Arabidopsis thaliana: one gene and its partner. The protein of the gene in region 2 interacts with the protein of the main gene of each other region in a pairwise test. Each region holds a gene or a part of one and is shown on either strand. Other genes may lie near its edges.

Region 1 (7,671 bases), on a different chromosome or scaffold from region 2:
GTTGGACACTTCTTTTGTCGAGTTCCTGTGAGCTTTTGCACACATGGGTTGCAGAACAAATGGTAGCACTTCGTAATCACCACCTAGTTTGTTAAGCCAAAGACCAAAACCAATCAGCAATCACGCACGCAGTTGACTAAAAGATTCAAGGGATCATGATTTGAGCGTCTTGCTGAGATCTAAATAATGGAGAGCAGTGACTCTTTACCTCTTTTGGGCGATCGTTGCAGGCCTTACACTTCAGAATTTCTTTAAATTCACTGAGTTCTTGTCGGAGCTTTTGAATGGCCGATGATCCTTCTATGAGAGACCGAAGACGAGAAACTTTCTTTTTGGCTATTTCCATTTCCTCCTCTATCCTTCTCCTATTGAACCTGATATACGCAGAAAAGAACGATACCTTCATCACTAACACTTGTTTATGACTATTAATTAGGATAGAGAAGATGGAGGGAGCAATTGATTTACCTTTCAATCTCCAGTTCCAGTTCTAATGCCCCATAATCCAGCCGACTTTGCTCAACTTTAGAATGGGACTCCTCCAGCCTTGACCTAGCTTGTTCCAAGCCATTCCCGATGTCTGCACGTTTCTTTTGCAGATTTTCAAGAGAAACAGACTTTTGATATTTATCTTCCGCTAGTTTCTGAAACTGATCTGTGCAGAACCTCAACTGCAAGGAAAAAGAAAAACACCTTAGTCAAAGTCTCACAATAAGGAGGCTTACAATTTGAGCATACGGGCACACACAGATATACCTGATCTTCAATTCTTGATGATTTCTTGGATAGGAAACTGGCATATGCACTGCCTTGCTGTATATCCTTATCCATGATGTATTTATCGATAAGCAGAGTATCTTGCATCTGCCTAGAAGTTATGCCTTCCAAGAAAAGCTGAAACAACAATGGGCGAGCAAAAAATTACATCTCATTGTCTGATCCAAGTAACAAACCATCCTTTTTTTCATGATATTCTAGCAAAACATACAAGGTATAACCACAGAAATTGGTCCATGCCCATTAAAACGATCCATCAATCTCTGAATAAATGTAACACTACTAGATATAAGAGTAAGTGAGAAGTCACAGAGATAGATCAGATAGAGGAACTAGAAGAGTTTGGACACGATACCTTGATGTTATAGTCATCCCTCTCTGTAACTTGAAGCAAAAGCTGTTGGTTTTGCGGTACAATGTCCTCATAGGCACTTCCAATTGTCTAAAAGAATATAGTTACTGTAAATCGATACGCAACATCAAGGTTTTTAAAATATGTTAAGAACAAAGAAACACGAAATTTCATAAGCCAACCTGTATTTCAGAAAGATATGTTCCATGTTCTTCATGTTTAGATTTCAAGATATCAGAATGCTTGGCGACATCCCTGAAACAGAAAAGACTTATCCTTGTCAAACAAAAAACTCTCAAAGAATTCCTATGGAAGAACTGCGTGATTGCATCTATAAATTGCAGACTTCTACTTATACTTATTTACCTTTTACAATCATCCATTTTCTGCCTTAAATCAGCAATCTCTGCTTCCGCAGCAGCCAACATTTGTTGGGAAACGGCTTCAGCTTCATTTGCTGCCTTAACGCGCAACTCCAGATTTTGCTCATCAAGGGATGATTTCAAACTCTGAACATGAGCCCAAGCCCTGTACTCCTGTTCCTTGGCTTCAGCTATGTCCCTGCCATAGCACATTATCGACAGTGATGCTTAAGGCAATATACCAACCGCATTATAATAATGTGTTCAGTCAAGATAAGAAGATAAACAAATCCTAACACATCCAAAAGAGTTTTTATCAGATGGAACTGTAAAAATAGATCAGATATTAAAAGCTGTCATGGATAAATTGAAAATGTGAACATAAGTTTCTTCAGAAACGCAAGAAAAATTAACAACAAACTTTCAGCAAGATTCGATAGTTCAGTCAGAAGGCAAGATTAATAACAGCACTTGTTGTTATACTATATATTTGGACAGTGAGAAGGGGAAGATAAGGAAACTTTTCTCTAAGAATTGAAATCTTAGATATCGTTATATATAGTTGTGCTTACCTCGCATCAGTGGACTCACGTTTATACATGTCCAGAAACAACTTTAACTCCTCATGACTGTTCTTCAAATCACAAACCTGCATGACAGACTCCAATCAATTGAAAGTAAAGAACATAACAACTACCACTTTGCCAACCAAAGACATTTAACAAGATTTAAATTGCTAATCCGCCTTTTCACTATACTTTTTCCAAGAAATAATGCAAAGTAACAATAACCAATATGAACACTGTCAACATATATAAGTCATGGGCAGTACACTGAAAAAGGTAGATACATTGCATCATACCGTAGCATTCAGGTCACCTAACTGAGAAGCATAATCAGCTGATCTCAATTGCAATGCTTCATACTCTTTTGTCTGTTCACCAATTAAGCTTATTAAGTAAGCATAACATAAACTGTAACAATAAGCATCAATCACTGTTCACATTATTTCCCACCTTCCTACATAGAACCCCAGAGAGGGACTGGACATCAGCCCGCAGAGAATGAATACCTCCAGCAGTCTCTTTATAATTGTTTAATTGACTACGCATGGAACTCATTTCCTCGGGGAACGAAGAAATTAATGCCTTCATATCTGCAAAGATTTCTTTTCTACCTGACATACGAATAACTTAATCAGACTCCAAAGTGAAACAGGTGTGGGTGGGAGATACAGAATTGGAAGTCAAAGTAATCAATTTGTGACCTCGCTCTCTTGATATATTTCCCAGCCTAGTCTTGATTCGCATTTTTTCATCCAGTTGTTTCTGTATCTCCGAATCCAAAGAAGCCATTCTAGAATCAGTAACAGCAGACGTCTTTCGAGAAACATCACCTAGTTCATTTTTTATATTTATCTCCCTTTCCTTCCAGACTATACTATCTTTTTCAACCTGAAATTTTCGAATGGAGGAAAGCTTCACAACTAAATATACAACGTAAATTTTATAAACATAGATACAAAATGAAAATCGCAAACCAGATATAACCTGCAGTTTCTCAAGTAAAGCCATATACTGGAAAACTGCTTCTTTGGATTTTTCTAGCTGGTCTTTCAAAGAAAGGCAGGCTTGAGAAGATGAGATGCACCTCACAGACTTTGACTTGTTCTGTTAGAAAACTCTTACATCAGTTTTAGCAATAGGAAGAGGCTACCATTCCACAAATTTTCATATATCAAACCCCATACAGAGACAAACTAATACAAATACCCCAATTGGATCAATACACTGACCTGTAAATTACTCATTTTTCCAAGCATCTTTGTCCTCTCCTCATGAAGATTTTTTAGCTGTTGTAGCCTGCCTGAAGCCAGGACCTACCGAAACCAGGCCGTTATCAACCCAAAACTTAAAGAATTACCAATGAAAACAAATCAGAAAAACAAAGATACCGTTAACTCTTTCAGAACTGTTTCCATGTCTTGCAGATCCCTTTGTTTATCCCTCTCCCGATCACTGGTAGCAAGCTTATTTCCAAGACTCAACACTGGGAAAAACGCCCCAGCTGTTGCATCCCTTTCTGCTCTCAATGCTGACAAGTCACCATTACACTGCTGAAGCTCCACAACCTCATCCTCTAGCTCCCCTTCGAATAGACCAAATAAAGTATAATATCAGTTGATGCGGTAGTCAAGAAGCATTAATCCAAAAGCAGGCATGTAAACTAAAATAAATTTTAACTCTTTGAATTTCTTAACTGTGGCTACTGTCAGTATTGAAATCTTACATCTTAAGGTAAACGGGTAATTTATCAACAAAATTAAGATGCTTCACTTATGTGGATGTATGTCATTCTCAAAGAATTACCAGCTTCTCTATCTCCTAAAATCTACCGAAATATATAAATATGGGTAAATGGTATAAAAGAAAACTAAGAAGTTCATGTCTCAGAAGGGTTTTGTACACCCATCAGTTCGCTAATGAGTATATCTTCCACAGCTACATGTCTTCTTAACAGCTGGCTCTACCATAGAGGTTTTCTTCCAGTCTTAATGTATCTCTCTCTTCAATCTTAATCTCTATGATCTAAATCCAATCATGGCTATTAAACAACTGAGTAGTGCTGGACATAAATACACAGGCGTGGAATTGGAAGATTCACAATTTGATCACCTCTACTTACACTTATCCTCATCAATCAAAAGCGAGATATGATTTCAGTAGCTTTTCATGTATATAGGACCTTTTTTTGTCAAGCCACGTATATGATTACAAATTTACATTTGATGCATGAATACTATATCCATATAAACAATGCCAATTAAAAAATCCATTTTAACAGTATATAGTCGAGTGAGACGAGACTAAGTAGCTACCTCTTATTCGTTTGAGGTCTACTCTAACTTTAGCATCAGCATCGCGATGACTCTGCAATTCTCTAGAAAGTGATTTGAACTTCACAAGTACATCATCTAGATCCCCTCTGAAACTTTTAATTTCTGATTCCAACTCACTCAGAGCTAGCTGACCGCACAAATCTAGAAAAGAAAGCAATTCCACATAGGACCTGGGTTAATACTAAAATGTTATAAAGGCCATAACAAGAGCTGACAATTGATCGCAGTGGAAGTCATACCTTTACCAAGATTGGTTCTGAGAACTGTGGGATATAATTCATCCTTCAGACACCTCAAATCCTCTGTCGCGGCTACTAGATTATACAAGGTTTGCGTCATCTGGCTTGACGTATTCACTCCATTTTCTTCCATCTGATTCGAGCAGATATTGGATGAGGAGCTCTCAGTAGCACCAGTTTCAAGTAGCCGGTTGATGAAATCGTTTTTCACGGCTGGAGAAGACCCATCTGTGTAGCAATTTAAAGTTAACCTTTCAAAAAGTCATATTTGTAACATATAAAACCAAATCTAAACTAGATCCTAGCACTAACAGAACGAAGAAAAGGCGGGCTTAAGTTGTTCATACCCTCCTTGTTTACAAACCTATGAGCTCCGCTGCTTGAATCACTCACACGAACAGAGCATGATTCCACTGAAGCTGTAAGCTGCTATACAAGCATTAATTAGTTCTCTAGAAAAAGAGATCTAATCCAAGTTCTATTAGAATCGAAAGCAAATTCAGTGTTACCTTTTCCCAAGACTTATGGACAGTCTTCAAACTGGAGTTGTATGGTAATTGTTTTTCCTTGATCTGAGAGAGTTTATCCTCAAGAATAGAACACTCAACCTGCTGAGCCTCTAGCTTTTGTGATAGCTTAAGATTTTGGAACTGAAGAACTGCAGTATCAAGCTGTATCAAACGAAAACAAACTCCTTAAGAGAGAGAATCCCAATTCCAAAATAGACCAAATTCGAGACAAAAGACATTCAGTATATGAATCTCTAATAGCTGGAAAGCTATGATTGATTGGATAAGTAAGAGAATAGATGTAAAGGGCATGCACAAGGGGGAGATGAAGAAGAAAGAAACCTTGTCCTCGGAGGAGGGCCAAAAGAAAGGCTGTTTCTTTACGGCGGCTGCAGCTTCAGAAGGTGATATGGAGCTAAAGTGACGCCTTTTACGGTCAGGCTCGCCTGTGCTCGCCATTGAAAAACCCTAGAATCGCCAATTAACAGGATTAAGCCTTGTCTCACATCACCATCAGATTGAGTTTGAGGAAGCTCGAATACAAATCCCCCAAACCCAATGAGAAAACCCTAAACGATCCAAAGCTACGTGATTGCTTTAACCGAGGTAATTCCAATTGCTCCGCAGCTCTCCTTCGGAATAAAAAAAAACAAACAAAAAGAAACCCTAATCTCACAGGTCTTCCAAATTCGATCAGACTCTAATGCTATCAAACGCAAACAGACTTTGTCTGATCTTTGTGCGACTTAGATATTACAAACCGAGAACACACACAGCACTCACAGAAACAAAAACAAGAGTGAAAAGAAAGAGAGAGAGAAGAGAGAGTTGAAGTTAATTCGAGTACGATGGCGTAATTTTGTGAACATCTGGAGGGCACTTTCGGGAATTACATATTCCACTTACAGTATATAAGCATCGGCCGTCCATAGAATCTCCAACGATCCGAGCCGCACGATCACGGTTCGTTAAAGGAATAGAGAGAAAAACATAACTAATCTTCTAATAAAAATTAATCAACAATAAAAGAAAAAAAAAGAAGCAAATTAAGTAGTCTTATAAATATAAAATCTACCGTTTGTAATAATTTTTTTGTTATCGTGTGATTCAAACCTGATAGTAAATTAGTAAGAAATAAAACAAAAAGATAGAAACAAATACAGTAATTTGAAGTCTCAAGACGAAAGTAGAAATAAAACAATTTGGTTTATCAATCGATTTTTGTTGCGAGTTTTTGTTGCCTCTCTTGCTCAACTTGGACAAGCAAAGTTAAGAGCGCTTCACAAACTTGAGCAGCATCAGCTTCTAAAGGAACCTCGTTCAAGGAAGAGTACACCATCCAGGCATGGTCTAGTTTACGTTTGGGTCTAACAACCACAGAACCAGGAACCTCTGCGTCACAGCAAGTCACTAGCCCGTCACTCTTTTCACCGTATCTGACTTGAAGTAGCTGAGCGCAAGCAGCCATTGCAGCACCAAGTGGCATTACCACTGGCAGTTTTGCGGCTTGGTTTGTCAGAGGAAGTTCAGCGTGTGCTACGTGTGATAAAGTGGATAGAACCGCTGGGCTAATGCTAGCTTCTGTGCGGAATGAAACCGTGGGGAGTTCTCGGGGAAGCGGATGATTCTTCAAGAATTCTTTTCTTCTCTCGTATGTTAAATCTTCCAATGCTTGAATGTCACCCTTCACAATGTTCCAAGGAATTCATCAGAAAGATCAGCAGAGCAATAGAATCCAGAAACAAAATAAGTTTTGGTTTATCCCTAGTTTCTCGGTTCCACCTAACTAAGGATTTTAACAGGCAATCACAAGAAGCTGATATAATGCAACTGAAATGACTTTGTTAGATCAGGAATGTTGCAAACCTTTATGACTTTGGAGATTAGAATCTCCATCATCTTTCTCAAATTGACGTAATCACCTAGTTGTCCTTCACGGAGGATATCTGTAGCTATTGGGCTTCCACCATATGGACTCTGCGCCAGTACCAACCCAGCGACCTTATCCTTTAGTTCAGGCCAGTATAGTGATAAAGCAGCAGCTGCATCTATGCCTCCTTTGCTATGCCCAAGAAGTAGAACCCGCTTATTAGATCCCCAACAGAGTTCCTCTATGTATTCCTTTATCTCTCTCGCATTTTTCTCAACCGAGGACTGATATATAAACATTTCTCCATATATTAGTATGCTATACACCAAATGTAACTGTACTAAGTTGAGTTAGTTATGATTACCTCGCTGTGAATCTTCGCAATATGACACGCCAAACCCATCTTTGAGAATTTCGTTTTCGTATCCACAAAATATAGAGGTCCATGATTGCTGAAAAGACCTAAAAAAAATTCAACTAATTTTGAGAGTCCTAATATACAGTAATGTAGTTTAAGTGGCTGGCAGCAAAGAATAAGAATTGCTACCTGGAACCAATAAGTACACCACTGTATTTGGAAGCCTGTGTACACCATGCCTGGATATAAAAACCAGATCAACGCAGCCATTTAGTAAAAAACAGGATGTTAAACAGCATATTGAA
Region 2 (4,941 bases):
ACCGGACCAGCACCGTTAGTAGCAACAGCAGTAACATCTTCTTGAGCCATCGCAGAGAGAAAATAAAACTTTGAGAAGAGAGATTCGTTTACGGTTAAGAGAGAAATGAAAATTGCGTGTGAAAGAACAATCTAGAGACGATGAGTGAGATATTTATGAAGGAAGCGGAGAAGCGGAATCGTTTCGTGTAACCTGACGAGGATTTCAAATGGATATAACAATTGCTCTCACGTCCGTGGATTTTTACCCTTACTTTTTGATTTATTTACGTGAATATGCCCCTACTAATCACTTTTCATTTACTACCCTATAGGACTCGTGTCTCGTTCGCATGTCTCCTCTATTAAACCGTTGGAAAGAAATCAATTAAAATTGGTTACTCGAATATTTTAATCTTTGTTATATACTGTGTCATCAAATATTTTAGTTTGTTATCATTGTGTAACTCTGAATGGTACACATAGGACAAAAGTTACGATTTTATTTTTTCCCATCCGTTTCGAATGGGTTTAAAGATATGTTAATATCACTACCATTATTCTTTTTTTTCTTCTATCCCTTTCCAATTTTATTTTACGTCACATGTAACTTTTGAGGTTTAATGGATGTGCATAGTTTAGTAGAGAGACATTATATGTCATATCAACCAACCAAATTACAAATTATATACCGATCAAGATTATTTCAGGACGCAATCTCTACCTGCGAGTCTTTCTTGATGTAACAAAAGATATTACTAATAAGCGATTTCTTCAAGAACTTGGAGGGTTTTTTGGTGAACCTGTGAACAGAAATAAACTATGATGAATGCAAAGAAACGAGACTTTGGTTGCAAATGTTTTGGTGTTATGAGGAACTTACCCATTCTAGATGTTGTGCTGTTATCCCGGAGGCATTACCCGAGTATATACTTCCCAGTACCTATCAAGATTGGATTTAAACATCACATAAAAAAGTGGTCAATGTTCTCTATTACTATCATCTGTTGAACATAGGGGATCGAGGAATGTTGGAAACATACCTTTGTGACAGTTTCTAGAAACATTCCTGGTCTTACTGGTAACGGTTTTCTTCCTGTAACGCTTCCCTGAGATCGCATCAAGTAGGCCAAGTAAGAAAAGAAGACATATCTTTGGTTCAGAGCCTACTGAAAAAGTCTTCTCTTTTAACAAAACAATGTGTCACTTGATCATACTTACCCTTCCATTTAATCCACTTGGTTTTCTTCCTTCGGTAGAAGAATCGTCTTCTTTGCTAAGATTATCTGCGCCTTCATCTTTCCCTTGCATTACATTCTGGATCATCTGCTGCACAGTCTTTCCAGGTTTCAAAGCTACCAATTTGGCTAAGAAATTCACCTGTTTGACGATCAAGCAACAAGTCACTGTATCTCAATGTTTAAAAAATGTTCACAAACACAGCATCATGGACATAATAGTTTGTCACACAAACCTCTGATTCAGGAAGAGTAGTGAAACCTCGGTCATTTCTTTCATCAAGTATACCTCCTCCCATCATGTTCCGGGCTTCCTCTCTAATCAAAACAAGCCTCGCTAGTAGTTTTCGATCCGGAATAGCTGGCCTTGTTTCCATAGTCTGCAAAAATCCTCAGACTTGTTCACATTCTCAAACTATCTCAAATACAGATTGATATCTATACTTAAACAAACACAAGTACCTCTAGCAAGTCATCAGCTTGATTAGCTATGTCATTCAGATTTGCTCCGGGTATATGAAGTTTAGTACCGTTCTCACTTTCAAAAGCCCCACCACCTGCAGCCACCCTACGCAGAAGCTCATGTCTACTTTCCTTTTTCGGGGTTCTACAGAGTAAACCAATCACCTGGACCTAAATATGGAGCAACACTTACACAAAATTAAAAACATGAAATGAAGCTAATGAAAAATTTAGAAAGTAAGAAGAAACTAATCTTAATATTACTCACATGAGGAGGGCATTTCTTGGTGAGATGAGATAAGACAGTCTCCTTGACGACCTCTAGTAAAGACTTTCTCTGAATCCAAAACAAAAATTCTTTAATCCTTTGTCCCAGCTTATGCTACAGAACTAATGGCAAGACTAACAACAGCCATAAAATCCAGAGAACATGTAATATTTGCTACACTACATTGCAAAAGCAATTCTAGCTATCCTGGTCGTTCTATGTAGCAAAACTCAAGTCAATTCTAGAAATATTTTTGTGTACATTCAGAGGGAAAATGCAGAATTGGTTTACCTTCTCGTCTTGGTCTTTGTCTGCAAGTTGGATCATGTAATCAAGAGCCATCATAAACCCTGATTCCATTTCATCAACCCTTTTCCCTATAACTCCTTGTGCAGCCAATTCTACAGCAACATTCTCAGATGCTTCATTCATCTTCATATCTTCCAACTACACATCAGAGACATATCAAGCCATTACGGAACCAATAATTCCCTTAATAAACAAGTAACGATTCTATGTATTAAAAAGTGAACAATATGCCCCAAAAACTACTAAGCCTAACGCCGTTAAGTTGTTCGACGAAAAGCCTAGCTTACAAAAAACAACACTAAAGCAAGCCCAGATGAAAACATAACTCTATGGAAACGTAGAAATACGTACTAACGAGTAAGTAACGATTACATGTAACATAAAGCTTAATGCCTATAAGTTGTTCGACGAAATGCCAAGCTTAGAGAAACGAAACAAAAGCAAGTTTTGATGAAAGATAACTCAAAATACATACGAGGGTAATCATTTCTTCAAGAACGGAAGTCACTTGTTCGCCTCCTTTAAGCAAAGCTTCATACTCAGCTGGATCTAATTTATCTTTGACATTAGTTTGATTTTGCTGAGTTCCGTATCTTTCGAACAATTCTTCATCGGTGTATCCACCTCCGACCTCGTAAGGAGCGCAAAATTGAACCAGACGCTTCAGTTTCTGGGTTTGCTTTGGACGGAACGAAGAAGAGGTGAAAGGAAATGAGCAAATAACCGATGGAATTATGAGAGATTCTCTTTTAGAAGGTGATGGTGTGGAGGAAAAACGAAGATGAATGGACTGTAACATAGTTTGTTTTCTCGTTTCGGATTCAAAAAGTTTGAGGTTTTGGGTTTATGCAAAGGAAAAAAAGATAAAGAATCGAAGAAGACGACGGGGATAAATTGGAAAAAAATAATTCGACAAAAATTTAGGAAATATATGCGCCGTCTGTGGGGATCGAACCCACGACCACGTGGTTAAAAGCCACGCGCTCTACCACTGAGCTAAGAAGGCTTGGTGCTTATTATGTAAAGTTTAAAATTTTATCTCAAAATAATATACCCAAATTACAACAAAAACAAACCATTTCAAGAATTCTTTACATAATAAGTTTGTAATGATTGATTGGTTTGTCAAATAATACCGGTTATCAATATTGGTTATTTTTATAACACTACTTAACTTGCAGCTTTAAGCTAGGTAAATGGCACAAAAGGATAAAACCTATTAAGCTTTTTTTTTTTTTGTTAAAAGTTATTAAACTACAGTTTTTATCATTAATATTCTTAGTTTGATACACAAAATCAGGTTTCAATTATGGAAATCTTCCTAGTTGAGATCAGCAACCATGTGGAGGAAGCATGGAGGGGTCCAAATGATATAATGGTGTTTTATGATTCTTATTAAGTTCATTGCCTACTTAGACAAAGTTGAGCGATCCTATTTATAATGCCATATAAAGATCTCAATTTATTTATATCAATATTTTTATCAAATGGTAAAATGAGAAACAATGTATAAATGTGTATATATATAAACATAATCGCTTAATTACAAATATAATTTAATTTAATTGAAGTGAGGAAGCTATAGATAAAGTAGGCATGGCAAAGGATTGCTTCATATTTTCTCAATTATTACAAAATCTCTCTTTCTTTCTCATTCACTATGTCTGGCACATGCTTTATTTCCTAATCCTCTTTTAGGAGTAGCTTTTTAGTACACTATTGCTATCAAATATTTTGTCCATGCTTATAACATTATAGACGTTACCTATAACAGTGGTTTATACATGATTATTAATAGTTATAGACTTAAGAGTAGAATAAGATGAGCAATAAAGTTATATTTTGTAGTATAATCGGATCAACCTTTAACTACAACTCATGCACTTTTTGCTGACTCAATTTTCTAAAACATAATGGAGATTTGTCAACGAGTTTTATGTGTGTAGATCAAAGCATTGCAATTACTTCAGAATGCTTTGATCGAAAAATATTGACACGAAAAATATTTGTCAAGTGAAATATTTTAGATGAAAAATGTTCGTTTAATATGCGAACTTTTAAAATATAGTTATTTAATACGTGAAATTCGTATATGGGTATTTAATACATGTAAAAATTATTGATCGGTCATTTCATATAAACTTAATTATTAACCACACTAAAATCTACCCGATGTTATTTGGCGTTAATAGACCCGATAACAACTATTAACTAGTCTTCGTTAGTTCCCAAACGACGTCGTTTCACCATAATCGAAATGGAAAACATGTCATTTAATACTCCAACTTTTAAATTATAGCCGTTTTATACATCAACTTCACATGTGACCATTTTATACATGAACTAAACGTTAATCTGCGGTTCGAAATATGAGAATGCGTTGATTAGGCCAAAAAGACATACGACTATCTAGGCCTAAACATTGGAATTACGGTTTGGATTCGATTCATATTTATTTGGATTCAGATAATTCGGTTAAGAGAATTTATTATTTGTTAGGATTTTATAAATCTACAGTTCAGATAGGCTCGATTTTTGGGAGAAAACACTAAAAAATTGTTCAATTTAAATAAAAATTAGTTTAATTTTACTAAATTTTGGCTAAACTTTGCAAAAATATGTTAAATTTTAATGAAAATAACTAAATATCTAGGTTATTTAGGATATGTCTCTTATTTAAATGCTA

What was found. The genes of interacting proteins can lie anywhere in the genome.
Region 1: the proteins of AT5G48470 (region 2) and HUB1 interact in binary tests that used the Arabidopsis thaliana proteins (3 or more experiments, as listed by UniProt).

The regions. Positions count from the first base shown.
Region 1 is NC_003071.7:18,542,651-18,550,321, forward strand, and holds the start of HUB1 (histone mono-ubiquitination 1), read right to left. Parts: upstream 6,003-7,671; 5' UTR 5,598-6,002; coding exon 5,481-5,597; intron 5,301-5,480; coding exon 5,139-5,300; intron 5,056-5,138; coding exon 4,977-5,055; intron 4,858-4,976; coding exon 4,630-4,857; intron 4,532-4,629; coding exon 4,370-4,531; intron 3,640-4,369; coding exon 3,446-3,639; intron 3,371-3,445; coding exon 3,287-3,370; intron 3,162-3,286; coding exon 3,042-3,161; intron 2,946-3,041; coding exon 2,759-2,945; intron 2,669-2,758; coding exon 2,508-2,668; intron 2,426-2,507; coding exon 2,354-2,425; intron 2,141-2,353; coding exon 2,064-2,140; intron 1,691-2,063; coding exon 1,496-1,690; intron 1,385-1,495; coding exon 1,312-1,384; intron 1,220-1,311; coding exon 1,133-1,219; intron 1,057-1,132; coding exon of another isoform or gene 1,021-1,056; exon of another isoform or gene 897-1,020; intron 895-896; coding exon 757-894; intron 672-756; coding exon 469-671; intron 375-468; coding exon 209-374; and 2 more. Other genes in the region: AT2G44970 (alpha/beta-Hydrolases superfamily protein), read right to left, coding at 6,349-6,822, 7,005-7,292, 7,373-7,470, 7,556-7,605. UniProt on the Arabidopsis thaliana protein: E3 ubiquitin-protein ligase that monoubiquitinates H2B to form H2BK143ub1. H2BK143ub1 gives a specific tag for epigenetic transcriptional activation and is also prerequisite for H3K4me and maybe H3K79me.
Region 2 is NC_003076.8:19,639,923-19,644,863, reverse strand, and holds AT5G48470 (uncharacterized protein), read right to left. Parts: upstream 3,121-4,941; 5' UTR 3,055-3,120; coding exon 2,731-3,054; intron 2,394-2,730; coding exon 2,238-2,393; intron 2,016-2,237; coding exon 1,947-2,015; intron 1,850-1,946; coding exon 1,679-1,849; intron 1,597-1,678; coding exon 1,453-1,596; intron 1,359-1,452; coding exon 1,200-1,358; intron 1,088-1,199; coding exon 1,022-1,087; intron 922-1,021; coding exon 862-921; intron 782-861; coding exon 737-781; 3' UTR 502-736; downstream 1-501. Other genes in the region: AT5G48480 (Lactoylglutathione lyase / glyoxalase I family protein), read right to left, coding at 1-50. UniProt on the Arabidopsis thaliana protein: Plays an essential role in early steps of chloroplast development. May be involved in the redox control of plastid gene expression by maintening the redox state around chloroplast nucleoids.